Arabidopsis thaliana: one gene and its partners. The protein of the gene in region 4 interacts with the protein of the main gene of each other region in a biochemical or structural test. Each region holds a gene or a part of one and is shown on either strand. Other genes may lie near its edges.

Region 1 (5,934 bases), on a different chromosome or scaffold from region 4:
GAGCTGGCTCAAGTTTCCTTTCTCCTTGATCAGCTGAATATGATGATGCTTGCAATATAGCTTACCCTCGTGAGCTATGTAATTCGAAGGGCTTATCGTGCAGCCTCCATGTGTACACTTGAAGCAGCTCTTGTGGTACAATGTTCCATTCACCGATACCTACACAAAGTCCACATTATAAGCAATGTTTCAGCTCTGGTTTAAGCCAAGAACAGATCAGATTCGTTATGGAAACAATCTAACAATCTTCTTTGACACAACTTGATTCTGATCAGGAAAGATTTGAGATTGGATACCTTCTCAATTGGATACACGGTTTTGTCGCAACCAACGCATTTCTCTCGTGTTCCACCAAACATATTCGAAACTTTGGTTCCAGCAGGTCTCTGTTAAACTTCTCTCATGTTAAATGTTAAAAAAATTCAAGAACCTCAAAAACAGAAAAAGGGTTTTGTTCTGCTGTCCGAAAGTACCTCTCCCTCCAAAGGCCTATCAGGTTTCCCAATCTTTGGTGTCCCTGTACATATATATGAATCAAACTTTAGATAGATAATTCCAAATTTGAAATCCCCACTCACAAAGCTTTTCACATTTTGATCTGTTTTTGGTAATTTACCTTCGAAGCTTTTCTCAAGACTTCCAGTTCTCTTGAAGTTTTGATCGAAATGTGGTCTGCAGTAGAGAACTCCTTCAAAGGAGTTGTAATTGCTAAGCTGACTCATCAAGAAGAAGAAGAAGAAGAAGAAGAAACAGAACAGTCAAATCTTTAGACCAATCAGTTTCCATAGCCAAAAATTCAAAGATTTCTACTTAATTGATTGGACTTCTTCATCTACATATATATCTACTAGATCTACTTCTGGATTAATGAGAAATCATCACAAACTAGAATCAAAGATCAAACCTTGAGAGTTCCTTTGCAATGGTGACATCGGAAACAAGCTTTGTGGTAGACCCGGTTATCGGCGGTTAACTTGTCGACAAGATAAACTGTTTTGTCACATGCCATGCATTTCTGGGTTGTTCCTGCGAACGCCATTCTTGTAAGAGATCAGACTAAAAGACTCAGGAAAAAAGAAAGAAGCTCAATAGTCTTGAGAGAGAGAGAGAGATAAAGAAGAATAAGATGAAGATGAAAGAAAGAGATTGTCAATTATTGTTGCTTGTTTTAATATGGGGACCAGATATATTGAAAAATGAACATGCTTCTTCTTTTTAAATATTTAAAGTAAAATTCTTTTAGGAAAAATTGAAATTTTTAATAAAATGTCACAAACAAAAAAGTTCAAGATGAGTATCGAATTTTGGATGCAAATTCGAATATTTGGTGTTTCTGACAACCCTAGCATTGTTTTTCGTGGTTGTCTAATCCACAAAACAAGATAAGCGATGAATAAATAAATAATTTGAACGTTAGCAACAAAACTAAAAACTGTACTACAAAAAGAAAAGGTTTCAACGGCATTTTTTGTGTTCTTAATTATTTTTGTCCAAACTTGAAGTAACCCGTCAATATCTGTCTCCTAGATATTTTGCTTATATTTTTTTTACATTAATTCAGTTCTTTTATATCTAGAGTCAGGTAATTATTTAGAGAATGCATGCAGTTGCTTGACAGTGCGTAAGATTTACACAAATTTTTCTCAACAGTGAAGGCAATGCTCAATAGTCAATAACTGTTTGTAAGGAAATAGAACAGGGAAAACCAACTGGAAAGAATCTTTGTCTGGTTTTAGATAATGATTAAAAGCTGTATTGGTTATGTTGAATTAGTTGGAAATCTCTAAATATCTATACACTATTTATTTTCTTTAATACTATATGTTGTGTAGTGTGTATATGAATAATGAAAATATCTGAAACATGCTTTACCATAAAGGCTTTTGATGAGCTGTAGTATTGACATAATTGGTTGAAGAGAATGAGTGATCATAATGATACCTAACATCTTTTATTTAATCAAAAATACCTAACGTTATTTTTATTTGCTACTATAATAGACTCCAACCAATTTATTAGTATCATTTTATACAGTTTCTAACATTTTTGCCACTGCTTAGATTTATGGGCTTTCCCTTTCTGTCTGCATGGGCCTCCTCTCTTATATTAATAATCTGACTTAATGAAAACTTTTAAATCTTTTGTAGTTTATTTTCCTCTAGATGCTAATTTTAGCAAAATGAAAAGATGTGTGATGGAAACGTAAAGTTAAAGCAAAAGAAGATGGTGAATTGGTGATGCAATATTTTAGTCATGTGTCATTGTTTACATTTATGATATATTTTACTTTAAAATACTTTTCTTCATTTTCAATTTTTATAAATCTTCGTAGAACACATATTCACAAATGATGCTACTTTGGTGATCAGTTACTAAAAAATACCGAAATTGATTTTAGAAGATAGAGACGTGAATCTGTTTGCCAATATTAATTGGGCTCAACTTAAGCCCAAATTATATAAGGAAAGACTACCTAGTAACGAACAAGTAGCAGGTCAACTGTCCGAGCGTTGGCCAAATCTCTCTCACTTCCACAGGTTTCTCTCTCCGGCCAAATCTAACCTCCGGGGAACGTCGTTGGTCACTTATCACCGGTTAGAATTTCCTTCCCGCTTTATCCCGTAAACTTTTTTCCCATTGATTCCGATCGTTTATGTTCCTTCACCAAATCGATAAAGTTTGATCTTTTTCCTTTTCACTATTATTAACAGACCAATCTGTTTACACAAGAAATCTACAGTAACTTATCACTTGAAAAGTTTTGATAAATAGTTAGTATAATAATTTGTTAATTGTGTGTGTAAATTTGATTTCTTGATTGTGTGTGAATTGTGATGAAGAGGGAAAACAAAAAATGGCGACTTTGGTTGATCCTCCTAATGGGATAAGGAATGAAGGGAAGCATTACTTCTCAATGTGGCAAACTCTGTTCGAGATCGACACTAAGTACATGCCTATCAAGCCTATTGGTCGTGGAGCTTACGGTGTTGTCTGCTCCTCTGTTAACAGTGACACCAACGAGAAAGTTGCTATCAAGAAGATTCACAATGTTTATGAGAATAGGATCGATGCGTTGAGGACTCTTCGGGAGCTCAAGCTTCTACGCCATCTTCGACATGAGAATGTCATTGCTTTGAAAGATGTCATGATGCCAATTCATAAGATGAGCTTCAAGGATGTTTATCTTGTTTATGAGCTCATGGACACTGATCTCCACCAGATTATCAAGTCTTCTCAAGTTCTTAGTAACGATCATTGCCAATACTTCTTGTTCCAGGTGTGTGGTTGATCCCGTTCATTTACTGTTGGTTCTAGCTTTGCTTTCTCCTGAAATTTTGCTTTGCTTTGTTCTTTTTGTGTAGTTGCTTCGAGGGCTCAAGTATATTCATTCAGCCAATATCCTGCACCGAGATTTGAAACCTGGTAACCTTCTTGTCAACGCAAACTGCGATTTAAAGATATGCGATTTTGGACTAGCGCGTGCGAGCAACACCAAGGGTCAGTTCATGACTGAATATGTTGTGACTCGTTGGTACCGAGCCCCAGAGCTTCTCCTCTGTTGTGACAACTATGGAACATCCATTGATGTTTGGTCTGTTGGTTGCATTTTCGCCGAGCTTCTTGGTAGGAAACCGATATTCCAAGGAACGGAATGTCTTAACCAGCTGAAGCTCATTGTCAACATTCTCGGAAGCCAAAGAGAAGAAGATCTTGAGTTCATAGATAACCCGAAAGCTAAAAGATACATTAGATCACTTCCGTACTCACCTGGGATGTCTTTATCCAGACTTTACCCGGGCGCTCATGTTTTGGCCATCGACCTTCTGCAGAAAATGCTTGTTTTTGATCCGTCAAAGAGGATTAGTGTCTCTGAAGCACTCCAGCATCCATACATGGCGCCTCTATATGACCCGAATGCAAACCCTCCTGCTCAAGTTCCTATCGATCTCGATGTAGATGAGGATTTGAGAGAGGAGATGATAAGAGAAATGATGTGGAATGAGATGCTTCACTACCATCCACAAGCTTCAACCTTAAACACTGAGCTCTGAGCTCAAGTCTTGTTTGTACGGGTAATTTACAGAAAACTTCTTCTTCTTATGTCTGATTGTCATCATAGACTCATAGTGTATATAGTCTTGAAAAATAAGATGAAGACTAACTTATAGTTTAAGCGAATAGTGATGCCATGGAAGCTCTGTTTTATTTAATTACAAGCTTGATGTGTGTCTGTAACATATGTACATAGAGAGAGCTGTTTTTTTTTTTTAATTACAAGTTTGATGTGTGTCTGTAACATATGTACATAGAAAGAGCTGTGTTTTTTTTTTAATTACAAGCTTGATGTGTGTCTGTAACATATGTTCATAGAGAGAGCTGTGTTTCTGTTTCTCTGTTTGTTTGTTGCGTTCTTGCAGAACTTTTAACCCTCTCATGCAATCCAAGCCTTTTGATGAATCAAGTTTTCATATAGTTGTTCTCATATAGCTTAAATCTAAGAATATCAACAATTAAGCATTTTGTTATATGAATATTTGATGATCACACCATGATCATAGGCCTTCGGATTCATAGAAGGGGTAGGCCTTTGCACCGAACCTAACTTTCCAAATCGTAACAAAAACAATGTATTGTTTTTCTTTCAATTTCTTAATGAAGTTCTATAAGATAATTTTGGTGAGTAGTATCAGTACCCTCCTCATTCATTTATCACATGATATGCTTCATTTTTTTGTCAACACATGATATGTTGCTTCTATTGGTTAAAAAGCCTTAAAGGCTAAAAGCTTTTTCTTCTACACCAACTTTCCTTCTCATAATTCATTTTTCTTTTCATAGTATATAAATAACTTGGAGGATTTTCCAATTTTTGTAAACCCATCAGAAATTTAAATTAACAATGAATATTCCAACTATATGTTTATGGTTGAATCACTTTTGTCTTTCTTTCTCCCCAAGTCAAAACTAAGTTAAATTAACAATTAGTCAATTACTTATGATAAACCAAAAAAATATGATTACACCATCATGGAAATTTTTTTGCAGCTTCTTCCGCAAGAAAGTCAATTTGTAAGATCAGCAAAATACATCTGGGATGACGTTTCATTTGGTAGAAACTTATCTTCTATTCGTCCTAAAAGAGAACAAAAAAAGTGTCAACAATACGTGATCTGATCAATTCATCACATTTAATGAGATCTGGTCAAATCACCAATCCATTTGTGTATCTGAAATATTTACAATTAGTTTAAGACAAGTCTCATTATGATAACAATAAAGCCGTCTCTCTTGTCCAAATACTAAATCCTGCCTAACAACTCCTCCGTAACCAAATTCCTTCAAGCTCTCAAATTCTCACAACCTCTCCACACAAAGGACCAGTAACAGAAAAAAAAAAAAGAGGATATTGTTGATTGGACTGAATTGATTTGATATGTTGAGTCCGTTTTCGTCACCTAGGAGATCGAGAAGAGGAAACAAAGAAAGCAAGAATCCTTATTCAAATCAAGGACTTGACAAGTTCTCTGCACTTCTATCTGAGCTCGATGAGAAAAGACAGAGCATTTACGCAAAGAGGCTTGATCCTGATGGACCGCCTCTTGTTCGGTTTGTCTTCACTAGCTCCGGCGAGTGCGTCCCTGTAATGATCAAGACAAAGAGGGCAAGTCAGAAGAAGGATGTTCTAGATGATTTCAAGGTCAAGAAGAAGGACGTTCTAGATGATTTCAAGGTCAAGAATAAGGATGTTCTAGATGATTTCAATGTAAAGACCGAATCAAAAACAGAGCAGGAAAAAGAAATAAAGCAAACAGATTTGGAAACAGAGCAGAAACAGAGCTGTGTATTGAATGAGAATCTGAAGAAGATTTCAAGACCAAACCATTTATTACCCGTGACAGTGGTGCTGGTTCTAATATTATTGGTGTTTTTCGG
Region 2 (7,349 bases), on a different chromosome or scaffold from region 4:
TATGGAAATTTGAAGTCCACATTAGTGATATATAGATGTATGATGGAATACTTTTAAAAAGTCTTATATTAGGAAAATCATTGAAACTTTATGGTCGATAAAGTGATGTGATCTGTGCATGGGTTGGTGCGAGCCATCGAAGAGAACAAATAATAGGACGAAATTGCAAACTGTTTTAAACCTGATAAAAAATATATGAATTACATACTACAAATGCAAGTCTCCTTTTTCATTCGTAAATAGAACACAACTCATAAACTGATGCTTTGCAAAAATTTAACATGGATTTAAAATGCAAAATGATTCCTATGAAAACAAAAAGAAAATGTGTGAGCTCCAATGATATAGAGGAGTCGAAAATAAAACTATAAATGGATGTGAATCTTCAGCATGTTTAAGACCACAAACCGTTTTATGAGAACAAAAAATATGTAGTTTGAACCGATTTTCTTTTCACTGGCGATTAGAAAAGACTTGTAATATAACTTTTCTTCGGACATTTTAACTTCCAATTTTATTAGTCAAGAGTTTTGTGACAATCTTCCTTTACGATCCTATAGTTTACATGAAACCAACTTTTTCTTTAATTTATATTTGTAGTGGTCATAATTTGAAGTCAAATTCCAAAGTTTGGCGGCATGATCCATTAGTATAATGTTAGTTTTTTTTCACTTTTAAACATGCACAAATTCAATTAGTATTTCTACTAAATAATGTAAAAACAGTGTAGCCTAATTGCTTTAACCAATCTGGCGTCTGTGGACTTTGTTCGCCATATATACATCAACTTTTTGCAGTTTCTTTTTCTTATCGAGACTGTAGTTTGGAGTTGGTGAGTAAGCTCCCTGGAGCTCACTTTACTCGACCATACCATTATTTCTGACCTCTTTTTCAAAAACCCGATTTTGTTCATTTTTTTTCTTCTTCTTTTTGTCGTTTTATTTATTTTATTTTGTCGTTATGAGATTAGTCCAAGAATGGTATCAATTCAGATGGACCATGGAATATAAATAATAGATATTAGGTTAGTCTTCGTCATTAAAAAGCCAACTAACACAGCATTATTATTATGTGTGCTAATTTTTTAGTCTTATCTTTTTTACTTTTAAGAAGTCGAGTATGTTCTTCAGGTTAATATAATTTATTATATAAGACCCAATATCCCGGTTTGACCTGGACCGGATCATACCAATCACACAAACTCTCCCAAAGTACTGAAGCAAAGTGAATACTGAATAGTATATAAATAATTTCAAAATATGAGTGTTTAAAGAAAAGAGAGAAACAAAAAAATTACATGGAGATCGATGTTTTTATTTAAAGTTTCATCAAACCCCCAAAACTATTAAATACAACAAATCAAACCCAACCACGAAGATAGATGTGGATGAATGGAGAAACCAATTTCTTTTCACCAGAAAACTTTCGTGAAAAAAGAAAAGAAAAGAAAAAAAATAACTAAATCATTTTTAAGAATTGTGAAGAGAAGCAACTTTATCAGTAAGCTCTGCAACTGTTTCATTATCTTCTTCCTCAGCTATGGTATCCTGCAAACAAAGAGAAAAGAACAACAGTAAGCAAACTTCATCGTCATGTTCCTTTTCAAGATCTTCTGTTTTTCTTTCTTTCTTTCTTTACTAACTAACCTCTTTGTCAGTTTTAGATTGGACACCAATGCATTTAGAACCGCTGATGCTTGCACTCTTCATGAGGTTACGAGCACTGTAACCTCCTCCATTGTCTGCTTCCTCGGATTCCAAGGTTGAAGCCACAGCAGCTGCTGCTCTTCTCTCAACATCACTGCTTTCTTCTGCAGTTTCACCATTTGGAGCAGGAACTCTCTCTCTGCAACATCATCATAGAGAAGCACAATGCTCTCAGAGGGAGATTGAGAAGAGAAGAGAAGAGATAGAGAGATTCTGTGAAAGACATTACCTTGGCAAGGAAGCATGATGTCTGTGAAGTGCAGTACTTCTTCCTCCTCCTGCTGCTCCTGGTTTACCTTGATTTTCTTCAAGATGAGCAAATTGCCTTTTAAATCGGTCTACCCCACTGCGCGTAAACAACAAAAAGATTTATCGAGTTCATAACTTTCTGTTTTCAAGACTTATAGTTTCTGTTAACTGTTAATTAGCTAACCTTGGGTACATAAAGCTAAGCTGATCACCACCACGAAGGTATTCCTCCAACATCTGAGGATGATATTCCAATATCTGATATTTACAAAATCCAAAGAAAAGTGATTGTTAGGATCAATGAATAACATTGAAACAAATTCAGATTAAAGAAAAGGATATATGTAGAAGGCTTTTGTGTTTGTTTGTTACCTCTCGGTAAATTAATTCTCTGACATCATCTTTAACTAACTTCTTTCTCTCAAAGTCAAATTCAAGCTTTGAAATTGGCTGTGTTGTTGGTTCACGCTCTGAATTTGACAAACCACTGAAATATGGATCAGCTAGTGCCTGTAATATGAAAATCAAAAACGACGAATATAAGAGTTTCGTTCTGTATAAAACAAAAGGGAAAAGTAAAGCAAATTTACTTCTCACTTACATCTTCAGCTGATGCACGATCTTTCGGATCAAAGGCAAGCAGGCGTTCCAGAAGGCGGAGAGCCAAAGGATCAGCTTTAGGGAATTTATGAGAGAAAGGGACTGGTTGTTTTTTCCTCATGCTGCTAAGATATCTCCTCGCCTTTTCATTTCTAATCTGTAGAAGTCCAAGATTGCAAAGCTCATTACAAGGATTAAATTACTCTCAATGATGTATGGAACATTAAATTTGCTACAGAAAATATGAACAAGTGTTTTGAGTGACTAACCCTTGATATTGACTCAGGAGGTGGAGTACCAAGAAAGTCAGTCATTAGATCCAATTGGTGCACAACGTTTTTCCCGGGAAACAAAGGCTTACCCAAAAGCATTTCCGCAAAAATGCAACCGACACTCCAGATATCAATCGCAGGGGTATACTGAAATATAACAAGAGTAGACTTAGCTTGAGATGGCTGGTCTTCTCAACAACACTATAGAACCACACAACAATATTCTACAAAATAGAAAACTAGAAGCATTTTCCTGGTAGGGAGAAATAGCAAGAGTAGTTGGGTTTGGTGAAAAAGAATCTTACTTTGGAGAAAAACGATCCACAGAGTTCAGGGGCACGATACCACCGAGTAGCTACATAATCCTACAAAATCCATATAAACGAAATGAGCTCACAAGCATTTGAAAATAGTTAAGAGGAAGCCTAATGAACAGTTTTGCTTTCACATTGAGTTAGATGACTCACAGTCCAAAATATAGCGGTTGGGGCATCGTTAAAAGAAACGCGAGCCAGCCCAAAATCACAGATCTTCAATTTGCAATCAGCATTAGCTAGAATGTTCTTCGGTTTCAAATCCCGATGAAACACATTAGCTGAAAACAGAGAACCCTTAAGTGTTTCAATATTATCTATAACAAAAATCATGAGGATCGAAAGAGACCAATGTGTAAAACCAGAAACTAACCTGCGTGAACATATTTCAGACCACGAAGAAGCTGGTACAAGAAAAACTGATAATGCTCAGGAGTCAAATCATCATTCGCCTTGATCACTTGATGAAGATCAGATTCCATCAACTCAAAGACAACATAAATATCGCGGAATTCTCTGCGAGAAGGAGGTAACATGATGTGTTTAATCTCCACAACATCAGGATGACGAAGCAACCGAAGCAATTTGATCTCTCTGAGAATCCTAGTAGCATCGGAGACATGCTCAAACACATCGTTGATCTTCTTGATCGCAACTCTCTCTCCAGTGTGTGAGTCAACAGCAGAAGCCACAACACCATAACTTCCTTTGCCAACAACCTCTTGAATCTGATACCTGTTAGCTTCTCCATACTCCGTGAAGAATTCAGTTTCACCCTGAAGAATTTTATTCATGATTCATACTTAAAATTGACCAAAATGATGGATCAAGACAATAAGATCAATCAAACGAAACACAAAACTGAAACTTTATCCTTTTGTGGAAGCAAATGCAATAACACAGAACATTAAGAGAACAAAACAAGTCTCTTCAATCTCAATCAAAAGACAACATCTAAGAGCAAATAGCATAAAAGGGTAGAGAAGGAGAAGAAGAAAGGTACCTTCTTGTGAGGATCCATAGGTAAATGATTACGTTTAGGAACGTTAATAAGCGTTAGACCAGAGAAATCGAGATCTTCTTCAATAATAAGCTCTCCAGAGTTAGCGGAATGATTGGGGTTAGAGGAAGAAGAGAAAGAAGAAGAATTGAAAATGGGTTGTTCGTGATTATTATTATTATTGTTGGAAGAAGAAGAAGAAGAAGAAGAAGAAGGTCGCTGAAAAAGCCATCGACGAACACCGTCGACGAGATTCCCACCACCACCCATAGACCACTACTAGATTAGAAAAGAAAAAGATTAGTAATTTACAAAATTGGGTATCCGAAATTCCTTGAGAGCCAAACAATTACCGTCAAGTCACCGTCTTTCTCGCCGCGTCTCTCGGTTTTGTCCTTCGGAGTTGGAGACCATGTTCTTCTCCTATTTTTTCATTTTTTTTTTAATTTTCTTTTTATGTTTTTTTCATTATTTATGCTCAGATATTTATTTTTTTCCCCTGCTTGATTATTAGAGAGAGTGAGTGGAGGGAGAAGAACAAAATATTTAAACCTTTGGAATATTTCGACGACCCGGTTTGTCTATACCGGTTAATGATAACCTGATTCGGGCATATGCATTTATTGAGTATATGGGCCTACAAAGCGGCCCATACAATAAATGTATTTTCGTTCAATCACTAAACGGATTAAACTCAACCGGACAAGGTTCGAAATTAAGAAGATGTTAGATGTTACATTACAAACCGGAATTAAAAGTCTAATTATGAATCTGAGACACAAAAAAAGAGAGAGTAAAAACGCCTTGCTCGTTCGGTCGCGTTGATGATATGAACATATATTTCATCATGAGCTGAGCAGGTCCAGGAGTCTGTTGCGGTTCGAGCACATCATAGTTATTGGGTCATAAATGAATCCGACAGTAGCGTAATCTAAGCATTTTTTAGTGAATAATACGCTTGATGATATATGTGATATGTCATGGGAGGATAATGCATAAGGTGGTGAGCGAAGCATTTTTTCAGCCAAAAAGACAAAATTTTATTTGAATAAATGATATCAAACAAATCCAGATACGCGAAGGAATATTGAATATGGAAAGCACGATCGTAAACAATTCTGCGATTTATCATTTCTTATTTTTTTTAACAAAATGTACGGTTTTGCATGATATATTTGCATTAAAAATGAATTGGTAAGTTTTTAAATAGCTCTATATTTGCATTAAGCTTTGACTGATTGTACAAAAAATAGAGTAATTTTTTAATTACAGTAGCAAAAAAAAGCAAAACAAAATTCAATTCTCTCCAGCTCAAAAATCCACTCTTCATCCTCTACTATACTCGTATCTATCTATCTACTCTACTCTGTTTTACGTAAGTTTTTTTTAGTTGATTTTCTTTTGTCGGACTTTAAGAGAGAGAAAGTGGCGTCTTTGTGGACTTTCTCAATTCAGGAGAGAGTCAAAGAGAAGGAAGAGGCTTCGCTTACTTGCTGAGAAAAAAGCTCCAAACTTTCTCTTATTGGGTTTTTGATCAGCTCCGGAGATAAAAAAAAAAAGTATTTTCTTGAAATCGAAATCTGATCTCCATTGAGAGTCTTGCTACTTGATTTGGATTCCGATTTAAGGTTTTCTCGAGAATTCTTTTGCTGCAGTTATTAGATTTTGACGAGCCGTTGATCTGGACGGAGTTCCAGATCTCCGGGTCGTGGTACCAAGGAATTAGGGTTTTAGCACAAAGTTCTCGTTTTTCTGTGTATTCGAGGGATGAAGGAGTTTTCGGGTCGATGTTCGCTGCTCTAACATTTGGAGTATGAAGATGAACATGAAGAAATTTCTCAAAAAGCTTCGTATCACGCCCAATCAACGAGACGATGGTGAAGGTTCAGTCTCTAACAGAAGCAATAAGTCTAGTGATGCAGAACCATCTCCTTCTGATTCATTGAGGTCTCAAGATAACTCTGAATTCAAACCCTTTTTGGGTTTATCAAATTGGTTAAGCTCTGTTACTCACAGGAAAAGCCCTTCTTCTTCCAATGCCACCAATAGCAAAGAGGATGACACTACCATGGAACATGGTGGTCCCGTTGGGTCGGAATCTGGGATGCAGGGTTTGGGTTCTAGTAGTAATTCCAAGGATCCAGAAGTTGAAGAAGAATATCAGATACAGTTGGCTCTAGAGTTAAGTGCTAGGGAGGATCCTGAAGCTGCTCAGATTGAGGCTATGAAGCAGTTCAGCTTAGGTTCTCGTCCTTCTGCTCCCGAGAATACTCCAGCTGAACTCATGGCATATAGATATTGGGTGAGTTTTTAACTCATTGCTAGACATAGAAACAAATTTCCAATTCACTTAAGCGACAATAGACTATGCTTGAAACAAAATGTGTTAAGTTGATTATAAGTTTATAACTCTTTTCTGTCTCTTCTAACCAATTTTACATCATCTGGAATTTTGCAGAATTATAACTGTCTTGGCTATGATGACAAGATTGTGGATGGTTTCTATGACCTGTGTGGAGTAATGAATGAATCTTCCTTAAAAAGAATACCTCCCTTAGTTGATCTTCAGGGGACACTTGTGTCAGATGGTGTAACTTGGGATGCTGTTCTAGTGAACAGCAGCAAAGATTCTAATCTGTTGAGACTTGAACAAATGGCTCTTGATATTGCAGCAAAATCAAAGTCAGCGTCTTCTTCAGGGTTTGTGAACAGTGAATTGGTAAGGCAACTGGCAGTTTTAGTTGCTGATTACATGGGTGGACCAGTTTTGGATCCAGATAGCACGTTAAGAGCTTGGTGGAGTCTGAGCTACAGCTTGAAAGCAACCCTCCGTAGCATGGTTCTGCCCCTGGGTTCTCTAACTATTGGATTGGCTCGTCATCGTGCCTTGTTATTCAAAGTATGTACCATGCCCTCATTCACTTTTGCTTTCTGTGAAAATTAGCATAAGAGGGGTATTTTTTGTGATCGCATGACTGTTAAAGCTTCTTGCAGTTTGGTGAATGTTTGAAATTGTGTTCAAAATTGCCCCTGTTTCTCTGACTATATTTATTACATACAAAGCGTATGGCACCTCTAAACGCTTTGTGGTGTTTTGTTTCTTCTTTCTTATGAGACTTTGTAGGTTTTGTGTGATAGTGTCGGCGTTCCTTGTCGAATAGTCAAAGGACAGCAATATACCGGTTCAGATGATGTGGCAATGAACTCC
Region 3 (6,340 bases), on a different chromosome or scaffold from region 4:
AATCATAGATTAACTAATACTGAGTGGAATGCATTCTTAGTTAATATAGTTAATTCGTAAATCAATATAACTAGAAAATGATTGGAACCATATTTTTAAAATGTCAAAATATCACAGAAAAGCAGTGGTATCTACATATACATTTTTGCAGCTATTTTGTGAAATAAATCCTGGAGTTAAGATTTATTTACAATGGCTGTCACTGACTTTTAATTATTGTTTTTTTTGGTAATAAATTAATTAACAAACGAAAAATATTCCAAATATATTCTAATCTCATATGTCATGCAGATTTCTCCAAAATCTGAACTAGATTTCAGCAACTATTTAAAACAAAAAATGTTTGACAAACCAAAATACAATTGCAATCCCTTAAAATGAGCAAAACACACCTAAATACATTCTTTATCTATACAATAAATCTTATTTCTCCAAAATTTGAGCTAGATTTTGGCAACTATTTAAAACAAATATTTGTTTGACAAACCAAAATACAATTGCAATCCCGTAAAATATTTATTTTAATTATATATTTAAATTAGCGGTGTACCGCGGGTTTTTTACGGGACGGATTTGGCGGGACGAGTTTGACAAGACGTTATTTAATAACAATTGTAAACTATAAAATAAAAATATTATATAAATAGATTTAATTTGCAAACTTTAATATATACTAATTTAAAAATAAAATTGTTCTCGCAGTATACCGCGGGTTAAAATCTAGTAAACAATACATTCTCCAAACCGAGTTAAAAATGAATGTATTGAGTATTGACTATGTATAAACAGTATTAAATCTTTTAATATTTGAATGTTAGATTCCTAATATGTGGAAATTAGTCTTTATAACTTTCAAAATCTTACGTACTAAAAATGAGGTCATTTAACAGTAGTTTCTTCCATTTGCGACATTGTTATCATACTTATATGATTTGTTTTCTTTCTTACTTTGTTTTGGAAGCAACCAAGCAACCTTCGTAAATGAAATCGTCGAGAAGGTTAAGGCAATGCTTGACAACGTTTCCTCATCACACGTACGTAATCCTATTAAATCAAAAATTATGTAGTTCTAGAATTAGAGAAATTGAAATATTGCCAATGACAAAGAAAAAAAAAAGGTGTGTACAAAAGAACATACTGTATGTTAATTATATATATATAATTATTGTATAAATCTAGTGGCTAATCATTGTAAAATCTCTAGATTACGCCGCAACATCAAGTTTACATAAGTTTTCGGAGTCGAGAGATCCGCAACAAGTTCTCCAGCCTTCTTAGAGCCGCGTTACGAAGGAGTGGGATCAACGTCCTTCTAGATGATGAAAATATCACTCGAATAGAGTCAAGAGACGAAGTTGATAGACTTTTTTGTCGAGTTTCGAGAGTGAAGGATCGAACTAGTGTTCATTACCAAAATTTGCAAGAGCTCGACGTAGTGCTTGAAGAAACTGCTGGAGATGAATAAACACATCGAGTTTTTCCCATTTTCTACGAGTACAATCCAAGTGACATGATACAAGTCTAAACAAAGATAGCTTTTTAATTTAATTTCTTGAGTTACAAGATAACAACATGATATGTAGAAGAAACAGAACACTATCTAAGACATCCTGATAATAAGAATGGACATAACTACTAAAGATATGTCTTGGGTTACAAGGATCCTTATAGAACAATTTCTTGAGTTGCAAGACAGCTTTTTTAACTAGTGAAATAGCTTAAACAACGATCAACATGAGATGAAGGAGAAACAGAGCTTAAACACTACTAATTTGTTTTGCTCAATGTCAGAGTATAAAACTTGCTTTCCCCTTCTTAAATAATGTTTTAAATGCTCGGCAGAGGATTGAACTTCACAGATTCGAGCCACACAAGCTCCTTTATCTCTTCTTCAGTGGAAGACGGATCCTCAAAATGGAAACTGAAATGGTTGGAACAAACAGGCTCGTCGTTAAGGTCGTGAAGAGCTGACAAGTAAGGATAACACAGTGCTTCCTCAACTGCAAAACAAAGAGTATGATCAAGGATTCATCACCCATATGCCAATCTCGCTATGTACAATTTTTCTCATCATACCCGTGATACGTTTTACTGGATCAAACACGAGCATTTTCTCTAGTAGATCGATAGCTGTAGAATTCATACTAGGAAACCTAGCTGAAAAGTTTTGTCTTGGGAACTTAGGTAGCTCCTTAACATATTTTCTCGCGTTCGCGCTTCTGAGAAACTCTAGACTCGCTCCATCAGGTGATCCTATCAACTACTCAACCACATGAAACAACTCATAAACACATTGCAACACACAAATAAAAGTTTCCAACATTTGTACAGATCTTTCTAAAACAGAACATCATACCTCAGTGATAAGTTTAAGCTGATGAACGTAATCCTTCCCCGGGAAAAGCGGTTCCCTTGTCATAATCTCAGCAAATATGCAACCAACAGACCATACATCAATAGCAGATGTATACTCAGAACTATTAAGAAGCAGCTCTGGTGCTCTGTACCATCGTGTTACAACATACTCTGTCATATACTCTGTTTCTGATGTAGTCCTTGCCAAACCAAAGTCAGTAATCTTAAGATCGCAATTCGAATTCAAAAGCAAATTACTCGGCTTAAGGTCACGATGTAAAACATTTGCTGAATGAATATATTTGAGTCCTCGTAGAATCTGATACAAGAAGTACTGCAAAAGAAGAAAAAGTGAATCACTTGTGATTAAATCAACCATAGTATCAAATATAGCAGAGTAAAAACCGTACCTGACAATGATCATCATTCAAAGATTGGTTTGATCGAATAATCTGATGAAGATCAGTATCCATTAACTCAAAAACTATATAAACATCAACGAAATCTTCCTTCTTTGGTGGTCTAATGATATCTTTTATAACAACAACCTGTACAAGTCAAGACCACATTAGCTAGAAACTCTAATCGTTTACCGCGAAAATAGAGTACAAAACTTACGTTCTCGTGTTCTAAATGACGAAGTAGCTTAATCTCTCTCAATGTTCTCTTTGCATCTACTTTATTATCAAAGGCTTTACCTATCTTCTTTATCGCAATCTCTTCGTGTGTCTCCGAATCTACTGCAGCACTATAACAATAAACCAATACTCTCATGAATCATTTTGCTTATACATAAACACAAACACAAACAAATCATCAAATTCATTCAATTTAAACTATGATTTTGAAGACAGAACCTTTCTTAAATCCAAAAAAGATCAAATTTTGCAAGCAACCCTAATTCAAAAACCTATACCAATACTTAGTTCTTTATCTAATTAGGGTTACAAATACTAAGTAAGAAACAAGAATATGAAATACACAAAAGGGTAGAAGTTGTACCAGACAAAACCGTAAGCTCCTCTACCAATAGGTCGAATAGGAGGAACATACTTATTAGAAACTTCAAACAAGTTTCCATAAACATTGTATTGAAAATATCTTCCTCCATGAACAAGAACTCCTTTGATGTTAGTATCACCTAAATCTGTCGCTGATTCAATTTCCTTCGCCATTTTTTTCAAATATCGAGATAATACAGAAGAAACCCAGAAAATCAAACTTTGAATACAAGATTTTTGGAGATGAGATCGATTCGATTCGTCTCTGCAAAATTAAAATAATGATTTTGTTGAATGTTGAAAACTTTGAAAATCTAAGGAGATAGAGAGAGACGCGTCAGAGGACAACGACTCTTTTTCATTAGTTTGAATATTTTGAATAGGTCAAAACGTATCGTCACATGTCCATCAGCCACGTGTACTTTGTAATAAATACAGATGGGTAAACGTTTGGGCCTGGCCCATCTATTTAATATAGAGAGAGGTATGCTATCAGCTCTGGTCTATGTTATGAGGCCCACGTAATATGAAAGTAAGAGACCTTTTCCTTTTCACCTATCAATACACATCTCTCACTAAAGGAATTCTTCGCAACAGATACTGAGATACAATACAAGTTGGAGTTTAATCTCTCCTCTTCTACTTGATGATTCTCATCCAAAACTACATACTTTCATTCTAAGGTATGTATTCCATATAATCAATTCATACTTTGTGGTGCGAGCGTAATGGTAGACGTCATGGTAACTCTTCTGTTCCTTCGGCCAAGCTTGCAAGTATTATCGACAAGAACGTTAGAAACCGCTCCATCAGCACAATTTGGATCTCGGGAAACTCGGTTTATGAAGAGGGCCTCCACTATTGGTTCCACACCCGTATTCCATAGATTCCTTCAAATGTTATAGTCTCTTCGTTTTCAAACTTTCAACTCAAAGTCACATTCATTATACAATTTTTTTTGGTGAATATCATATTATTCACTTAATATATCAGTAACATCTTATATGTACATATAACAGTTGACATATTAAACCAATATCGAATAGAATGTTATCTTTTACTTAATATATTAATTTATACTATTCACCAAATTGTCATTAAAATTACGTTTTGAACTCTGGAATATCGCGAGTTTACCAATTTACTCATAATCTTCAACTTTTCTATATAAAAAAAAGAAAATTAATATGGATCATATTATACGAGGTTTCTTTTGATAACTTAATCTTTTGAGTCAAATTTACGCAGAACCTAAATATAATTAACTTGTGATGCTCAAACTACAACCCTTAAAATACCCTAAATTGTTCAATATTTTCCTCGTAAAATACCCCATATCTAACTCAAATCACTCGCACTTACACATCAAATATGACTAGGCCGACACAATATAATATATATCCAATAATTACATGTTATTTAATTGGTACGACAATCTCCGACAACGATACCATTACCAATACCAATCTCTTTTAGCCATATTCATGCTAAAAGTGTAGTGGCAGATCCAATTCACTTTTATTATTGATCTTCTCCACTGATTGGCTTAATTTGATGTGGCATTCAATTAGATTAATTAGATCTCCAACATTATCCATGCTTTATAACTCATGACTCACGTGACTGTTTTTTTTCCCTCAAGTTTTGTTTCGTTTATCTTCACAATATTTTTAGATATCCTAAATTGAAAACATAATAGACATGATTGTTGAATTATGTAGGTAAATCTCTCAGTTAGAAATACTGGGTTTGAGGCATGTTGGAAGAGATTTCTTTCCCAAAGGATATGAATTTAATCTGGTGTGGATCCCGCCTCTAGAAAATGTAAGGTCTTTGAGTTTGAATTTCCAGATATTCAAAAAAAATAAAAAAACAAAAAGACAACAACTCTAAGCATAATAATTTACTCAAGTTGATATGTGGTGAACTATTCAATGTGAAACGTTTGCGCTCTATTATTGGTATGCTGTATTATTAGTGTGACGGTATGACACAACGGAACTTCCAATATATATGTTGTACAATTCTAAATTGGATTTTACCGGGGGAAAATATCTTGATCAAGTACGAAATATGAGTGGCTTGAGTGTATTGTATATTTGTATGTATATGGATACTAATAAATAATCTTTGTTCCGTGGGAAAAGATTGTGTAATTTTTGGTTCATAGTAACAAGATTAAGAAATTTAAATCGGAAATTAGTAGGTTTAAATTTAACATGTTCTTTTGGTCGCAAAGGTAAGAATTGACGTAAGAGAATTTAAAAAACAAGGACGTAAGAATTAGATTTTCGTGTTTTGATTTCATTATTGTTGTTTTTAAAGTTAGTCACACAATCACACGAGACTACGTCTGGTTGTGGTCGATCGAAGTATCGAATCGTGAGACTTCTATTAAGATATAGTTATTTTGAAAAATATGAATGTTATATATATTATTGATAAATAAAGTGAAATTTCCGATCGCTTGAATCAATGACAACAGTCACAGGCTGGTTCTCATACTATCACTCATAACATTCTTGGTATTATATGCTACTTACAATTTATTTTTATTTTTTCAAGAATTACTTTTGTTTTTTGTTAGACATGATACCTAATCTCTATGATTGTAAGTTTGTAACTACCAATCTTGAGGGGCCGTCGCAAGCTCCAGTAACAGCCTTATATGGATAATACTTGTCGATACCAAGACCACCATTGCTACTTATATATGAACTCATCCGCGGTCTCGATTTTGCCTCCTCCACAACCATAATTTTCTTTATTAGAATGAATCAATCAAGTCTTGCTCAGTCAAAGTGTTAAATTCTCCTTGTCACCATCGTGTCGAGAACTCCCAACAGCTCCCTACAAAGACACGAACCAAACATGAATGATGTTATAGATCTCCACCACCGATCCTTAAATACAAAACATAAATGAGGTGATATAACCTCCACCATACGATATATCAAGAAGAAGAAATGTAAGTATTTAATGTT
Region 4 (5,316 bases):
GTGGCATTACATCGAACACCTTGCGCGCATAAGGGTTTTTTCGAGAAACCGATAAAGCTTCTGGTCAAGCTAGAGGCTTTCACAGCTGTAATACAGAATTCTCCAGTTCCATTGAAGTCGGAGATCGTACCGTCACCGGAATCTGATTTCAGGTAAGCTTCTCTTCTTATTGGAATCGAGATTTGATAACACAAATCCGACCAAAGATTCGAAATTTCGAGATTTGTCTGGTTTTAGTGTCCAGGGTCTTTGTGGGTTTTTGAAGAACGAGATTAAAGTTTGGTTATTTGTAGAAATTGAAAAGTCTCTGTTTTGATGAAGGGCTCAGGTTAAGATGAGTTTAAGTAGAGCAAAGGATTTGAGACTTCCGTTGATGAATTTGGTTAGACTTAAAGGTACACCAATTTTGGAGCAACTTCATTTAGAAGAAAGGCTTCTTAGAACATCTTCTGATAATTGGTGCATTGTTAATGATGGAACCAATGTTCCTACCATTGTGATGGGAATGTCAGGGTAAAGAATGAATCATCTTTTCATCAATTCTATTCGAAATCGTTTGCGCAAAATGTTAACTTTTGTGTGTTGTTGTTTATAGGAAGCCTTCTCAGCTTCTTGAGGTTGGACCAGTTATGGAAGATCGAATACCGGTGATTAAACGATTTACGGGAGGAGGAACTGTGATTGTGGATAAGAGTACTTTGTTTGTGAGTTTGATTTGTAACAAGGATGATGTACCAAATGTTCAGCCTTATCCTCGTTCTGTTATGGCTTGGAGTGGTTCGTTGTATGATGAAGTGTTTAAGAGTGTTAATGGTTTCCAACTACGTGAGAATGGTGTGTGTGTGTGTGTGTGTGTACTCAGGCTTGATTCTTCTTCTTTGTCCACAATGAAAATGTTTTAATGTCATTTGGATTTGCAGATTATGTGTTTGGTGATCGTAAGTTCGGTGGGAATGCTCAATCGATAATTAAGAATAGATGGATTCACCATACTTCATTTCTATGGGACTATGATGTGAGAAACATGGCTTACCTTAAGCTGCCTTCGAGAGTGCCACAGTACCGGTTGGTATGTTCCTTGTTTCATCTTGATCTAAACGTCTTCTAATTGATTACTTGATCCAAAACTCTTTGGTACATTGCAGGAAAGAGATCACACAGATTTCGTGTGTAGAATGAAGGATTACATTGAAAGATCAGATTTTGTTGAGAAGACAGTAAAAGCTGTAAGGAACCAATTCACATTGAAGCAAGTGAACCTTGAAGATATTGATTCCTATGCGAAAGGAGGATATTTGAAGACTACGAGGCTTCTTACGATGGAAGAACTCGAAGAAGCAATGGCTGATACCATTCAAAACACATGAGAGTATTGCTATAGTTTATTTGGTTCTCGATTCTTTACCTCGGGTTAGACCGTTAGAGCCACCACTACTTGAGATAATTTTGTGCTGGTTATTGATTTTGTAATACTGATTTAAAACTTTGAATCAGAAAAGAAAAGATACTTGATGTCTTTAGCTTGTCATGTTAATGGCTAACAAAAGAAAAGTCAGAGACTTTGATAATAATGACAGGAGTAAGCAACTTCTTGATTAGTTCCCACTCTAAATGTTAGAGCTTTAGTGACCAACTCCTAGAAAATCTATAAATGCTGGAGGTTTAATGGTCTCAAAATATCTGGTCACCATTGTATGTTCTCCAGTTGTTGATGATGATGGCAGTGATAATGACGATGATGATGATGGTTCCTGGATGGAGACATGCAGTGTCAGTGCCAAGGAATCTGCAGGGAAGGTTGAGTAGTGATGATGTGGACCCTGCATCGGCATGCGTGAAGAACTATATTCTTCTTGGAGATACTGAGCTTTCAGGTTAGTAGTTCCCTCTTTTAGCATTTCCCAGCTGCACTTTTTCAGATTCACATCTTCATCATCATCTACATTACCTGCAAGAACACACAGAACCATGAAACTTAAAGACTCACCAAACTTGCAATCTGACTACTTTTGAGACCAAACCATAAGTTCATTGTTCCTGAGTGATAAATATCGAAAGTATCTCATTACAATAACAGAGTTAAACTCAATGCATATGTGTAAGGTAAGAAGAGACAAACCAGGAGAAAGATTGAAGATTTTGTGATCTGTGTTAGATTCATGAGCAGAACCATTGAATCTTTGGACGTAAGAACTTGATTGCTGTCTCATCTTCCTTGCCATGAGAACATGCCAATGATTCTTCAAGGCATTATCTGTTCTTCCATTGAAAAGCTTAGCAATCATAGCCCATTTGTTACCAAAAGCTCTATGAGCAGCAAGTAGTCTCTCTTCTTCTTCATCACTGAAAGCTCTCTTGTTAATCCTCGGATCTAACTGGTTAAACCACCTCAATCTGCAGCTCTTTCCTTTAAGACAAAACACAAAGAAGCAAGAAAAAACATTGTAAGTTTCATGTTCCGGAATTAGCTAAGGGAAGATTAAAGATTTCAATTTTTGTCGTTACCTGTTCTTCCTTGCATACTCTCTGCAATGTGGTTCCAGTTTTGAGGACCGTAAACCGAAACAAGCTCCATAAGCTGAGTATCTTCAGAGATCCTCCAATGTCCTCTACTACAAACCCTAGAAACACTCTGTTTCTTCTTCTTCTTAGTCTTCAAATCATCACTCTTCTTCTGCATCCTTCTTTTATTACAGAACTCTTCTACTGTTTCAGACACTGCATTGTTTTCTCTAAACCCATTAAATGTTGTTCCTCTGCAATGAAACTCAAAAGGGTATTCTTGGAAACATGAAAAATCCATCTTCATGTTAGTCTCTCTTCTATAACTAATGTCTCATATATACACACACACAAGACAAGAGAGACACATACATATAGGGAGGCATGTGATGTTTGGATTCTCTGATGGCTATGTTATCGTAAGTAATCTTTTTCATTACCAAAAATGGAAACCTGAAGAGAGAGAAGAACAGGTTTGAGATGAAAGAGAATAACTCGAAATAGAAAGAAACCCCACGCATACATCTTTCATGGTTGCTCTGTTAAGAAACAGTTTCAGTTCTCTGACATCATTTTTTTTTTCTTTAACAAAGTTTGAATTTTTTGTCACACCTTATATTCTTCTCCCCACGCTTTACCATTTTCTAAATTATACTATTTCCTTGTATATGTAAAAATGTAGGTATATAAGAACAAAAATATGTATACCTATTATTGGATGAAATTTCTTATAGAAGATAGATATATATTCCTATGTACAACTAAGTTCTATGTATTATTTAAGAAAAAAAAACACAAGATTAAGACTTAAGTTTCATAGTGGCATAACCAACATATTCAACATGAAGAAAGCATAATGTTGTTTAAAGTTTTTTGGCCCAGTTGTTTTAGATAGGCAGGGCCGGTTGATGGCACGGTCTGGAGCCCCAACCCAATAATTAAAGGGCCAGATTTTAAAAAAGTGATTGCATATGAAAAAAAACCAAAATTAATCTAGAGGCCAAAAATGAATTCTCAAACACAAGAAAGATTAATTTAGACAAAAAAACTAGACATAGGCATTCGGTTTTGGTTCGTATCCATTCAGTTATCGGTTTTTTGGTTTCTAAATTTTAGTATTTATTCGGTTATTTTAAAATTTTGGTTCGGTTTCGGTTTGGGTTCCAGTTTTTTCAGTTTTGTAATTTAGTATCCATTCGGTTATTTTGCTTTGAATATTTTCGGATATTTCGGTTATTTTGGATATTATCATATATTTTTTGGTTATTTTCGAGTATTTTACTATTTATATATAATTCCAAGTATTTTTAGTTATTTAGTTTAACAATAACTAATATTTTTTAAAAAGATAATTATATTTTGGATATTTTTGGTTACCCAAAATATTTTGGTTTGGTATCAAGTCAATTTTGGTTCTTTCTGTTATAGAATTTAGTATCCATTTGGTTATTTTCAAATTTCCGGTTCGGTTTGATTCGTTTTTTCTTCAGTTTCAGTTTAGTATATTCGGTTCGGTTTATTTGTCTTAATTAAAAGGGCCTAATAATATTGAGCCGATGGGACATATTTTTGGGGAGCAAACTTGATCCAGTCCAATCCTCTAAGATTCAGAGAGATCTGACCCATTTTGTTAGGTCTTTAAAAATATATGCTATTAAAGTAAAAAATGGCTTATAAGACTAATTAATTTGGATCCATCAAACATACCAATTAACTTTTTTTAGTTTGCGATTTATTGTAGACTGGTTCGCTGGACCGCAAGGACAAGTCACAAAACGTGCATACCCCTATTATGATTTAACATTTAGAGATCTTGCTAAGGTCAAGCCAAGCTGGCTCTGCCAAACATATCATTTTCTTAATGTTCTAGCATCCCATATTTGAGTCCAAATTTCGTTATAGTACTATCCAAGAAAATTTACTTAACAAATTTTCAAGGTCATTTTACAACATTTTAAAGAGATAATAGGTCTAGTCTAACTGGTGATGATATATTTAACAAAATTTTAGGTGGATCATTTGACATTTAAATGGAGGATTAATTGATTTAAACTAGTGTTTATCTTTGCTTCTTCCGAAAATATCTTCCAATTTTTTCATTTAAACCAATGAATTGTTGGTATTTTTTTCTTAATAATAAGAAGAATTATTTGGCAGAAAAAACAAATTTCATGCTTCCATAACATGAGAATTTTCACCACTTAGTACTCAAATTAATTAAAAAGCAAAATACATAACATCACTTTCATTTTCTTATATTATAAAACGAGAATTAATAAAACTTCTCTTTTTCTCGTTCCCACACATATATTCGCTACATATCACTATCAGTCCCAATCTCAATTGGTTACCAAAAAAGAGTCCCCAACTTGGAACCGAAAAAAAAAAAAAAAGCACAATAACAAACCGAACCGATTATATATAATTAATACCGAAACTGCCCTCCGGTGTAGGTCTGGCCAAAGGACCAAGTGGGTGGTGCAACATTAAAAGAGACGACACTTCGACGATCACTTGTGGTAACAACAAACGACAGACTTTGACCATTGAGATAAGAGTTGCTTTGCCAATTTTGCCCCCAATTTCTCGACATTAATTGCCATTTTGTCCTCGACCCTTTCATTGAGACCGAGTGTACGTCCCCGGCTCCACCCACGTTTGTGACCAACACCAAGTTAAAGTATGAGTGGCCGTTGATCGTGAACCTTATCCCACCACTTCTCTTGCACCGAACCCTATATAACACAAAATTATTTAAATAAAAACTATATGTTATGAAAGTTTTCAATATTTATGAAATAGGGGTAATGAGAA

The links.
Region 1: of the proteins of MYB110 (region 4) and MPK1, one has a biochemical effect on the other in vitro, tested with the Arabidopsis thaliana proteins (one large-scale study listed by BioGRID).
Region 2: of the proteins of MYB110 (region 4) and ATMPK8, one has a biochemical effect on the other in vitro, tested with the Arabidopsis thaliana proteins (one large-scale study listed by BioGRID).
Region 3: of the proteins of MYB110 (region 4) and MPK5, one has a biochemical effect on the other in vitro, tested with the Arabidopsis thaliana proteins (one large-scale study listed by BioGRID).

Annotation. Positions count from the first base shown.
Region 1 is NC_003070.9:3,346,725-3,352,658, forward strand, and holds MPK1 (mitogen-activated protein kinase 1), read left to right. Parts: upstream 1-2,357; 5' UTR 2,358-2,594; exon of another isoform or gene 2,595-2,840; 5' UTR 2,841-2,854; coding exon 2,855-3,277; intron 3,278-3,362; coding exon 3,363-4,052; 3' UTR 4,053-4,456; downstream 4,457-5,934. Other genes in the region: WLIM1 (GATA type zinc finger transcription factor family protein), read right to left, coding at 1-159, 297-386, 474-517, 617-713, 905-1,039; AT1G10220 (ZCF37), read left to right, coding at 5,435-5,934.
Region 2 is NC_003070.9:6,243,172-6,250,520, forward strand, and holds ATMPK8 (Protein kinase superfamily protein), read right to left. Parts: upstream 4,642-7,349; 5' UTR 4,495-4,641; exon of another isoform or gene 4,421-4,494; 5' UTR 4,412-4,420; coding exon 4,145-4,411; intron 3,918-4,144; coding exon 3,515-3,917; intron 3,423-3,514; coding exon 3,295-3,422; intron 3,193-3,294; coding exon 3,133-3,192; intron 2,975-3,132; coding exon 2,825-2,974; intron 2,713-2,824; coding exon 2,557-2,712; intron 2,466-2,556; coding exon 2,328-2,465; intron 2,214-2,327; coding exon 2,140-2,213; intron 2,053-2,139; coding exon 1,936-2,052; intron 1,846-1,935; coding exon 1,647-1,845; intron 1,548-1,646; coding exon 1,470-1,547; 3' UTR 1,127-1,469; downstream 1-1,126. Other genes in the region: AT1G18160 (Protein kinase superfamily protein), read left to right, coding at 5,955-6,443, 6,600-7,040, 7,266-7,349. UniProt on the Arabidopsis thaliana protein: MKK3-MPK8 and CAMs-MPK8 modules negatively regulates ROS accumulation through controlling expression of the RBOHD gene during wounding.
Region 3 is NC_003075.7:6,889,333-6,895,672, reverse strand, and holds MPK5 (MAP kinase 5), read right to left. Parts: upstream 3,748-6,340; 5' UTR 3,531-3,747; coding exon 3,358-3,530; intron 3,104-3,357; coding exon 2,974-3,103; intron 2,904-2,973; coding exon 2,766-2,903; intron 2,690-2,765; coding exon 2,357-2,689; intron 2,261-2,356; coding exon 2,077-2,260; intron 2,001-2,076; coding exon 1,828-2,000; 3' UTR 1,466-1,827; downstream 1-1,465. Other genes in the region: AT4G11340 (Disease resistance protein (TIR-NBS-LRR class) family), read left to right, coding at 962-1,034, 1,205-1,465.
Region 4 is NC_003074.8:11,006,611-11,011,926, forward strand, and holds MYB110 (myb domain protein 110), read right to left. Parts: upstream 2,847-5,316; 5' UTR 2,810-2,846; coding exon 2,506-2,809; intron 2,408-2,505; coding exon 2,120-2,407; coding exon of another isoform or gene 2,004-2,119; intron 1,949-2,003; coding exon 1,623-1,948; 3' UTR 1,469-1,622; downstream 1-1,468. Other genes in the region: AT3G29010 (Biotin/lipoate A/B protein ligase family), read left to right, coding at 335-513, 596-834, 921-1,069, 1,146-1,367; EXPA5 (expansin A5), read right to left, coding at 4,928-5,237.